Linked DNA regions of Arabidopsis thaliana. The main gene of each other region encodes a partner of the protein of the gene in region 2 in a complex. Each region holds a gene or a part of one and is shown on either strand. Other genes may lie near its edges. The genes, in order: PAD4 and TBP1.

Region 1 (5,854 bases), about 15 Mb from region 2:
AGTACTAAACCATGAGTTATCTATATTGCAACATTTTCTATTCACATTATATTCGCGAGAGGACGATGAATATTTGGCCAGAGTCGTTAAGAATCAGAACTTGTAGATAACGAATCATAGATAGTCATAATTATATAATAGTATATAGTATGAAAATGGTATGTAAGGTATGCGTAACGATCTGTGAATAGAAACTATAGAACGAGAAGGTGAAACAAGAAGACACAAGTTTTGAAGAACAAGGACTGTCTCTATTTGTCTACTTATTTGACTTGAATTTATTTGATTTATTAACCCACAGAAAAATGGGGATTGGAAAGGAAAATCTGAATGGGATAAAGAGCTTCTTGGATCATGTAAATATTGGCAATCTCCAAGAATTCTATGTAGTAGGTCTTACGTTTTTCTATATATTTGTATTCTAAAATTCCTGAAATTAGATCACCATCACACTACATGTTGGTTTTAGAGTAATAGCTTTACTTCTCACCAAAAAAAAAAAAAAGAGAGCAATAGCTCTACATGAGAAACTCTTTGCACATTGCACAAAAAAAGAAACTCTTGCAAAACTTGTTGAACATTGACGATAAATTTTGTTTTAGAATATATAGTAACATTCATCAGAAAGTCTTGCATAAACATGATGAACAACAATGATACAGATTGTTATATAGCATATCAAACATTCGATTTGCTATTAGTCCTACTAAGTCTCCATTGCGTCACTCTCATCAACAACCATCTCAATTTCATTTTCATAACCCATTTTGCACTTGAACTCTTTCAGATTCGCCTCCCACACACTATAACTCGAGTTCTTCGCTTTAACATCCAAAGAAACCTCCTTCTTCGTCACCAATGTATTCGCATAACTCTCGAATGGAACAATCTTTTCCCGTAACAAAGATCTCCTCTGGGGATCACTACTCTCTTTTCTCGCCTCATCCAACCACTCTTTTGCTTGCTCAAGCTTAGCCCAAAAGCAAGTATCTTGCGTTGTGCTCGCGTATCTGCTTCTCACACACTCCTCAGGCACTTTAACTCCTTTCTGCCATTTATCAATCACCTCATACCTTTTAGGTCTATTCCCCTCCAAGTAATGCCCGCCAGTCTTTATATCTCTGTTTTTGTAGAAATTCGCAATGTCGAGTGGCTCGGCTAAGAGTTGATAAAATTGAGATGCGTAAATCCATTTCTTTCCTAAATGAAAATCAAAAGGTAACTCATTCGTCTCCACCATTTTAATCACTGTGTCCCAAAACTTAGCTAGTCTTATGCGACTCATGTTCACTTTAAAGTCTCTCTTCAACGAATATCGTTTGAAGAAATCGTAGTAACCTAGCTGCTCTTCTGATGCATCGCAACGATCTTTGTACCATTGAATCTCGAGTCTTGCTGGCAAGACACTAGCAAGCTCATTGGCTAACTCAGCTGACCTCAGAATAGGAGCCCGAACAATTCTTGTAGCTGTTTCTATACATTCTTTGACTAAAACGCCACTTGTGTCATCGTTAGAGAAACCTAGAGCTTCAACGGCTAACGCAACACCAGCTTGGTAGCTATTGTCGGGGATACTCCCACCAAGAAAGCTTCTAGATTTAAGAAACATGTGTGAAAGTGTGAACACATAGTGTCCGTACCTCTGATGTTCCTCGGTGTTTTGAGTTGCTGTGGTGTTGAGGATATTAAACATCAGACGAACAGAACCAGCGTTGTCTAGACAGACACCTCCTTTGTCGGAACAGAACAAGTAAGTTCCAAAGGGCCAGAATTGTTCATTGCTGCTTCTAGGAACGAGGTCGTGGATGGAGACCACGTGGCAGAAGTTGTGTGCTAAACGTGATCGTGAAATTGAGGTGGAGAGAGATTGGTTTCCGAGCAGAGGAGAGCCAAAGGTGATACAAAAGACGCGGAATGACGGCGGAGAAGATTGAGATAGAAGCCAAAGTGCGGTGAAAGCGGCCAATGCGCCGCCGGTTGAATGGCCGGTTATCACCACCAGCTTTTTACCTAACAATTCCAATTCCAATCCTTCCTTGATCTGCACGTTAATGCAGTCGACGTTACTGTAAATTGGTTGACTAACAAGAACAAAACTGATTATAGATTACCTTCCTTCTGAGTGTACAATTTCCTCTAATAATGTAAACTGATTTAGAGACTAAATTTGCCAATTACTTGGTTTAACCAAATTTGAATAAAAATCAGTTAAGACACCTCTCTAGACTTACCATTTTTACAACTTATATCTACATTAATGGTCACTTCTTGTTTTTTCTACTCATCAAAACCAATAGGAACTTGTTTTTGTTCAAGATTTTCATATCCTTAGAGACAAAACAAAAACTAAAAGTATTCGACGAAAAAGGGAATAAAATACATGATGGTGACACAATAATCATGGGTTAAAAACTTTTTGAGCGCACATTTATAAACTTCGCCGAGGTGTGTTAAAGCATAAAGCGTAAAGCTACCAATTCCATTAACATTTTTTGTTTTTTTTGGTGTCAAAAATACCAATGACGTTTCACTCACTAATTAGTAAATTTTTTAAATCACTTGGGCGGACGGACGTGATGGCATACAAACCAAACTTTCAATTGACTTGCTTATGATATCCAAAGGTCGCGACAATGACATATTCCAAATGGTGGATTTGGAATAATTGTGTCCACGAATCTTTTTAGAATTTCTTACAAGAAAATAATTTTTATTTATTATCTATTGTCTATTGCCTATTGGGGTAGGTGGTGGTGATAGTTTATAATAATCTTTTAAAAGGACAAAAAAAACCTCCATTTGGATTATAATTCATCAAAATTCAGAGGACAGAGATATTTAAATAAAAAATAGTAATGATCATCAGTTCTACTAAAAAGTACTAAAATACGTAAAAAAAATAGTAACTTTAATAGGTAAAATTCGTTTTCGCAAATCCAAACGAATAAAACTTATGATAGAATTTTGTTTTTTTTTAAAATCCTTTGTGAAATAATTTCCCATATTAGCATTTAATGATTTTTGTATTTTTCTCTCGAGGTATTATTAATTGAAATTCAAATATCCACATGCCTTGAAGATAATAAATAGGTTAAATTGCATCCAATAGAAAGAAAAAAAAACAGAGGAAGAGAAAACAAACCTTTAACTGAAGAAAGAGTTTGAGTATGGCAGCGTCGACCATAGGTAGAGGTTCATCGGAGGATAAGCCGGGGAAAAGAACATCTCCGGTGACTGGCAAGCCCACAAGATTCCCCAACTGAATCATCGATACCGCCGGTATAGCAACGTATGTAATCCCGGCGATGTCATGGATCTTTATACTCCCGTTGCAATTTGCGGTGTTGCATGAACTCCAAGAATCGGTAAATAAAGGAGTCGATATCATTACCGAAGCTTGCAACTCACTCGTCTCGAATCGACAATCGTCCATGATTGGATATCGAGTAGAGAGTTGCAGAACGATGATGTTTATGAAGTTGTAAATATATTACAAGCAAAAAGAAATTATCTATGTATCTTCTTGGCTTGTTCCTATGTAATTTCTTGGTTTTGGTCTTTGCTAAGTCGTCTTCTTCAAAGTCTCTTACTTTAACATCATAATTTAGTAAAATTGTACTGGTTTTATAAAATAATAATAAAGAAATGCTGTGAAAGGTAGGTCCATTCTCATTTTTTAATCATTGTGTGTAGAGGACAAAAAAATATGTAAATATATAGTAGAAGAAAATGCGAATCAAAGCATGTGATCCTATGTAATCGGAATGGTTTAGACTTGAGCATAAATTGACAACTTTTGATATGCAGAAACTTTGGTAAGAGTTTATCTATCTATCTTTCATGGAAATTGCAGAGAAATCAACCTACATTTGACTCAGACATTTTGAAGTTTTTTTGGCTAAGCTTTTAAAAGGAACCAATTACTTTCAGTTTCAGCTTAACATGATATAGTTATACAATTTGGCCCATATAAGTCCTACAAGTTAGACCCACCATGACTTGAGGAGATTTTTAAGTTGTGGTCTACCTCTACTAGAGAGATATAGATACTTGTTAATGAATTTGATAATTTACTGTTTGGAAAGGTTTATATCTAATTTAACAAAAAAACAAAGCATTGAAAGGTCCATGCCATTGTCATCTTTTAATCTCTGTTTGGGATCTTTGTGGAAAAACCTAGAGTACAAAATGGGGCAAATTATCAAAACAAAACAAAAAAGGTTTGAAGAAGAAATATCTGATGATTAGGACTTAAGCATGTATTAGAAAACTCTTGCCTTAACAAACTGATAATGATAAAAGAGATAATCTGAATCCTAAATGTCAATGAAACTATCCAACCGGACAATAATCATTGCAAAGCTACCATCTATAGTAATTTTCATGTAATTTTCTGGTTTTGATATTTTCCTGAATTGGAGTAAATATTCAAATTAAACAATGAACTTCTATAACCAAGTCTCTCCATTAGAGACTAGTAGTACATTTTCTTGGTGTTTTCTCATATGATGAAGTCAGTCGTCGTCCAAAGTTTTCTCAACTAAATGATGTTAAACAATCAATCTGACACATCTTTGTATCACCACATGTTATCGTCTCCCTATACTTATTTAGCTAATCTGCTTTATCTATAAAGCAATCTTGTAATTGTCAAGTTTGATATTTTGCTCTAACATGCTTCTTTTCAAGAGATACGTATAATCGAATCATAACTTAAAACAATTTAAGTACTTATCGGATTCCTAATCTCTTCTTCCACCTTAATAATACAGCTCGAAACTTTATACAAAATACGAAAAACGGTGTAACAAATCATGTATGAATATTGATTAGATTAATGATTCTGTTATGCGATTGAACTACAATAACAGATTCAATATAGCAGACTTTTCCAAAAATTGATGACAAATAAACGATCATGACTCAAAAGAAATTGCTCAAACTGTTATGATTAAGAACACATGGATTCATCAGTTACATGAAATGGATTGAAATCAGTAAATCTCTTTAATCTGATAAAACCCTAATTTTACAAACCCTCTTTGGATGTGGTTGCAGTAGCGGCGGTGTCGAAGTCATCGGGGTCTTTGGTTGGGTCAGATTTGTCGATTGAGGAGCGGAATTTATCGAGGAAAGGCTTGAAAGCGATCTCTATGGCTAACCATCCTAACGCCATCGCTGCGACCACCACAGTCGCCTGTTTCGCTCCCGAAGTTTTTCCCATCGCTGCGTCGTCGTCTTGTTCGCGTGTCGGTGGTATCAACCGATGGTTTAAGATCGGGAGATGGGTTTTACTAGGATGTTTAAAATGGGCCGGTTTGGGCTTCTCATTGGATAAAGATAGTTTGTTTGTTAAACTATGGCCCAACTTTTTATCCGTCTATTGGTTAATTAATACAAACTTTTTATATAATTGTAAATATAATTGAAAGGATCCCTATTTTATTTTCTTGGGAATATATATATGGAAAAAAACAATCAATAGAATTAGATAAATAGTTCAATATATCAACAATTTCTTTTTTGTTAGGATAAGGAACTTTTACCTTTTTTCTAATATAGTTACAAATTGTGTTTTTTTTTTTCTTAATTTATTATCAAATTTCTTTTTTACTTATATATAACCTCCTTTTTCATATAGAGTTATTAACTTTTTCATTTTCTCAGTAAATGTATTAACAAATTTAGACTTAATACATGAAGACATCTAATATTTTTATTGATATGTGTCGTGAACTCGTGACATGTTAGTTAGTAATTTTTATAAAAAAAATTTAGATAGGTTAAAATTATTTGATATGTGTAGGGGTGTCAATGGGTCAAAATTTATTGGTCAACTCAACTCAACCCATAA
Region 2 (4,853 bases):
GATGGGGAGCACAGCTCACTATCATGGAACAAGCATGTCTTGACGCAGAAAACGTTAGTTTTTATGTTTTGCACTTAATTAGTCTTTGGCGATACAGATGATGAAACAAAATGTTTTTGCAGGAAGGAATATCGTGTGAATTGATAGATCTCAAGACTCTGATCCCTTGGGATAAGGAAATCGTTGAGACCTCAGTGAGAAAGACTGGCAGACTTCTTGTAAGTTAAGCTTCTCTGAGTGAGTATCATTGTCCTAAGTCTCAGAGAATAAATGTGTTTGCTTACTTCGGTTGCAGATTAGCCATGAAGCTCCTGTTACAGGAGGCTTTGGGGCCGAGATCGCTGCAACTATAGTTGAGCGTTGCTTCTTGAGGGTAAAAACAAGTCATATTTGTCTACAGCATTATAATTTTTGGTAACAATGTCTGGTTTTCATATTTGCTTACATGTCTGGTTACTTTTGCAGTTAGAAGCACCTGTAAGCAGAGTTTGTGGCCTGGACACTCCTTTCCCTCTAGTGTTCGAACCTTTCTACATGCCAACCAAGAACAAGGCAAGTTTTGTTTCTGGTCTGTATCTTATACATATATTTTCGTTTTTGTTGCTAATTCTTCCCTGGCTCACAATTTGATGCAGATATTGGATGCAATCAGATCCACTGTGAATTACTAGCCCATCTTAGCATTGTACACATGATTCTCTGTCTCCTATCTTCGAAATAATTATTGATGCTGGTGGTTCAGACATGTAATGGATACTGTAATCACCACTTTTGTTATTTAATCTATGATCTTGAAACTCTCCATCTTTGTTCACAATCTTGGCCAATCTCTATGATAAACAAGACTTTAGGGCTACACACTGAGTTAAGGTTCTACTTGTAACATAAGTGGAAATGTGAGGACACTACAGCAACATACATGTAAGACATATCTTGGAAAGAAAAAGAAAAAAAATAGAACCGAAGAATTGTCTTTAGAATCTCCATTGTGTATATACAATGTTATATTATGAACCAAAACACAAGGTGAGAGTCTAGCTACTGTGAAAGCCTTTGTTCAAGGGCAAAATTCTCAGCAAGCTTTAGCAACTCCAAGGGGCTAAGACCGCACAACTAGTTTTGCAGGGAACAAATCCGTGACCCTATAAAAGATAAACACAACAATTAGGTTCATGCACGAATAAATCGAGAAATCAAACATTACTAAGAAAGATGAGGAAAGTTGACGGGTGTGTTACATACTATTGCTGTATCTTTCTGAATTCCGAGAGCACGGGGTATATATTCTCAAAGGCTTTGTAGGTCTCATCTCTCATCTGATAATGAGTGATCTCAGGATTTTTTCAGGTGACAGAAGAGCTAGAGACTAGAGAGAGACATAACAAGTATTATCACAAAACCTAAAGAGAAGTGAGATATTACCTTGGCTCCTGTTATTACGATCTTCCCAGAGACAAAGATTAGAAGGACGATTTTTGGGACTTTCATCCTATAAATCAGCCCTGGGAAGAGCTCGGGCTCATACTAACCACACGCCAATATGAGAGAGAGGTAATGGCCATCAGCACAACGTTTTTATCTCTAAAAGTCGGTCCTTGACTACTAAATGTATAAGTTAAGATCACTCACACTTGAGAAAGCAGCGTGAGAGTAAGCAAGACCTTCAAGTCTTATAGGGAATTTGACATCACAAGAACCTACAATATTCTGAATCTTGAAATCCTGCAGGATGTAACAATTGAATATATTTAGTATAAGCAAAAGTAAGAAAAAAAATGTTGGATAGGGAAAAGGTTTAAAGAAATTGTACCTTGAATTTTGCAGGGAATCCCAATTTCTGCACAATCCTAGCATACTAAACAATAAAACATCTCCTATTAGCATAAACAAATGAGGAGCAAATAGCATACTGCAATTATTGCTAAAGTAAAGAAGAACAGATCTATAAGAAAGTTAAATTAAAGAGGTTAAAGATAAAAAAAATCTACCTTTCTAGCAGCCATCTTCGAAAAGTCCTCGCTCTTAGCTCCAGTACAGACCTAATTGGAGATTAGTCGCCAAATTCAGAAGAGAATTCAAACCAATGTAATTAAATTTCAGAATTATGAAAAAGTATTGCCAACCAAAATAACTATACCATTTTCCCTGAGGCGAATATTAATGCTGTAGTCTTCGGTTCTCTGATCCTCATTATCACCGCAGCAAAACGCTGGAAACATAAAACACAAGAGGTATTACATAAGACGAGCTTAGCTAAGGCAAATTAGTTTAGCAAAAGCCAAAAACAGATAATATCTTAGATTCTAATTAATCAGTACACAGTATATAGACCAATCAGATCTCAGGTAACAATAAGGTCAACTCAAGGAGAGAGTACTCTTCCAAACAACTTTTCTACCGTTTATTAAAACAAAAAGTCACAATATAATGCAAATACCTTGGGATTATATTCAGCATTCCGAGCCTGCAAAGCTATGGCTTTAAGATCTAGCTTGCAGTCTAAGTTCACCGTGGAGACAATGTTTCTGAAACAAAACATCAAAGATGTCAACAGGGGTCAAACAAACACTTAATCCCAAGAGACAAAAAACAAATACGAAGGCACAAAAGAACTCACTGAAGAGTAGGAACAATCCCTGAAGGATGCTTGCTAAGATCAACTGGATTACTCCCTTCCAATCCTTGATCAGTCATTCTTCTATAGTTACACAAAACCAAAATCAACACAATCAAAATAAGCAATAGCCAGAAAATATAATAGACACTAGACACGATCCAAGACAATATGCTTAAAAGTCTTATCAGATAGACTTATCATTCAAAAGGGTTTCAATTATTTGAGAATACAGAGCCAATTTTAGATTTCATCTTCCAAAACAACGAGACTTATCCTCTTAAGGTGATGAAACTCATAAGATCTAATCGAAAAAACTCAGGAAAAGGATTAAAGGTCAGACCTTTGGATAGCGAAGAAATCCGAAATCTAGGGTTTCGTAGCTTTAAGACGAGAAGGAAAGATTCGAGGGAAGAGTTTGGGCGAAAGGAAGCCGAAGAATTGAGAAAAGGAGAAGCCTTTTATACAAAGAATTGAGAATCGAAGAGGGAAAAAGATTTATAAATCGGTGCTTATATAAGGGGAGAGTGAATTTGTTTCTCTCGCTTCTGGTTTTTAGATCTGTGAGAGAGAGGAGGTCATCGACTTGCGTTTCGGATTTGGGATCCTTAAGCCCCTTTATACCTATATATACATACCCATGCTACCCTTGACCGTCCTTGTTACATCGAGGGTAATTTTGGAAATTTATGCGGTAATGCTACGATGACGGCTGTCTTTCGGTTTTATGTGAAAGTCCACTCCTTTTCGGCCACGTCAGCTTTAGTGTTATAACGCTATTATATTTTTGCATATTTAGCGATTTAGTGAACATTTTTTTTCAAGTAGAAATTTATAATTTTTCATTGATTTTTTCAAATCACATAATGTGGAATTGAAAATCAAAATTTCACATCAGTTAAAATCCACTAACCAATAACCCCACTAAATCAAATCACTGTTACGACTACACCACCAACACAAAACATGATTTTCATAAAAATTAAAACACTAGAGAATTCTTGGTTAAACAAAGCATGCTTATGAGATCTCTAGCCATCTTTGTAGTATCAGCGCCATTGTTTCTCCATAAGCGAAGATAAGGATTTCGAAAACTGCGAAACAAACGATGATGATGATGTCTCTTTGTCCTGGCTCTCCTCATCCTTGTCTCTCCAGAACTTTAGGATAACGAGATTCTCCTCTTCTGTTGATCTCTGAACTACGATTCTCGAAGCATAACCTTTCTTTCTCATCATCAGACAAATCTCTGCTGGGAAATTTGAAGTTAATGTCACTAAGTAGAACCATCCTTTCTCTGATAGCAAAAGATCAACCACAGGCAAGATTTTATCGATGACTGTCCGGCCATTTTCCCCTCCTGCCCAAGCAGAGGCAATACCTTCCATTCCAACTTCATATTCAGGTGTTGGCACATAAGGCGGATTCACCACAATCACGTCGACTGAGCCAGCAAGTCTCTTCTCTAGACCAGTAGCTAAATCTGCGCAGATAACATCAGCATTAACTCCATGTGCTTCTAGAGTTTCTTTTGTCACTCTTGTAGCTATCGGGTTAGTGTCAATGGCGAGATAATGAACACCAGGAACTTCGTTTTGAAGAAGAAGTATAAGTGAAGTTATGACATATCCGCTTCCGCATCCAATCTCCATACAAATCTTAGGGTTGTGCTCTATAAGGTTGGTGCGATCAGCGAGTAATGCATCAACTAGCGCAAATGAATCATCACATGGTTCATAGACCTCACGATGCGAGCTTACAAGACGGATAGCAGCAATTCTTGGTGGCATCTTGTAAATGACTTGACTACTAAACAAACAAACAAAAACCACACCATTACAAGTTAGAAGGTTTTAACTTTGAGAAGGTGTATTCCATATTTCAAATATAAACAAGCTTGCAGTCTAAAGTTCACCATAGACATCAAACAAACACTAACTCTTAAGAGACTAAAATAAAGACAAAGGCACAAAAGAACTCACTGAGGAGTAGGAACAATCCCTGAAGGATGTTTGCTAAGGTCCATTGGATTACTCTCTTCTAATCCTTGGTCAGCCATTCGTCTAAAACAACAGACAATCAAACTAAGCAAAAGAACTCAGAGAAGATAATTGCCACTAGACACGATCCAAGACCACAAGAAAACTTATGCGTAAAAGTCTGATAAGATAGCTTCATCAAATGGGTTTCAACTATTTGGGAATACAGAGCCAATTTTAATTTCATCTGCCAAAACTAC

What was found.
Region 1: TBP1 (region 2) and PAD4 share a complex: the UniProt entries of both Arabidopsis thaliana proteins name them as parts of the nuclear protein complex.

Annotation. Positions count from the first base shown.
Region 1 is NC_003074.8:19,429,145-19,434,998, reverse strand, and holds PAD4 (alpha/beta-Hydrolases superfamily protein), read right to left. Parts: upstream 3,905-5,854; 5' UTR 3,434-3,904; coding exon 3,143-3,433; intron 2,042-3,142; coding exon 707-2,041; 3' UTR 549-706; downstream 1-548. Other genes in the region: OEP7 (outer envelope membrane protein 7), read right to left, coding at 5,030-5,224.
Region 2 is NC_003074.8:4,378,158-4,383,010, reverse strand, and holds TBP1 (TATA binding protein 1), read right to left. Parts: upstream 3,219-4,853; 5' UTR 2,958-3,218; intron 2,699-2,957; 5' UTR 2,695-2,698; coding exon 2,618-2,694; intron 2,526-2,617; coding exon 2,438-2,525; intron 2,210-2,437; coding exon 2,138-2,209; intron 2,040-2,137; coding exon 1,989-2,039; intron 1,856-1,988; coding exon 1,811-1,855; intron 1,723-1,810; coding exon 1,630-1,722; intron 1,525-1,629; coding exon 1,423-1,524; coding exon of another isoform or gene 1,360-1,422; exon of another isoform or gene 1,317-1,359; coding exon 1,243-1,316; intron 1,143-1,242; coding exon 1,142-1,142; 3' UTR 787-1,141; downstream 1-786. Other genes in the region: DIN4 (Transketolase family protein), read left to right, coding at 1-53, 123-218, 296-373, 466-552, 636-671; AT3G13440 (S-adenosyl-L-methionine-dependent methyltransferases superfamily protein), read right to left, coding at 3,664-4,423, 4,597-4,673. UniProt on the Arabidopsis thaliana protein: General transcription factor that functions at the core of the DNA-binding multiprotein factor TFIID.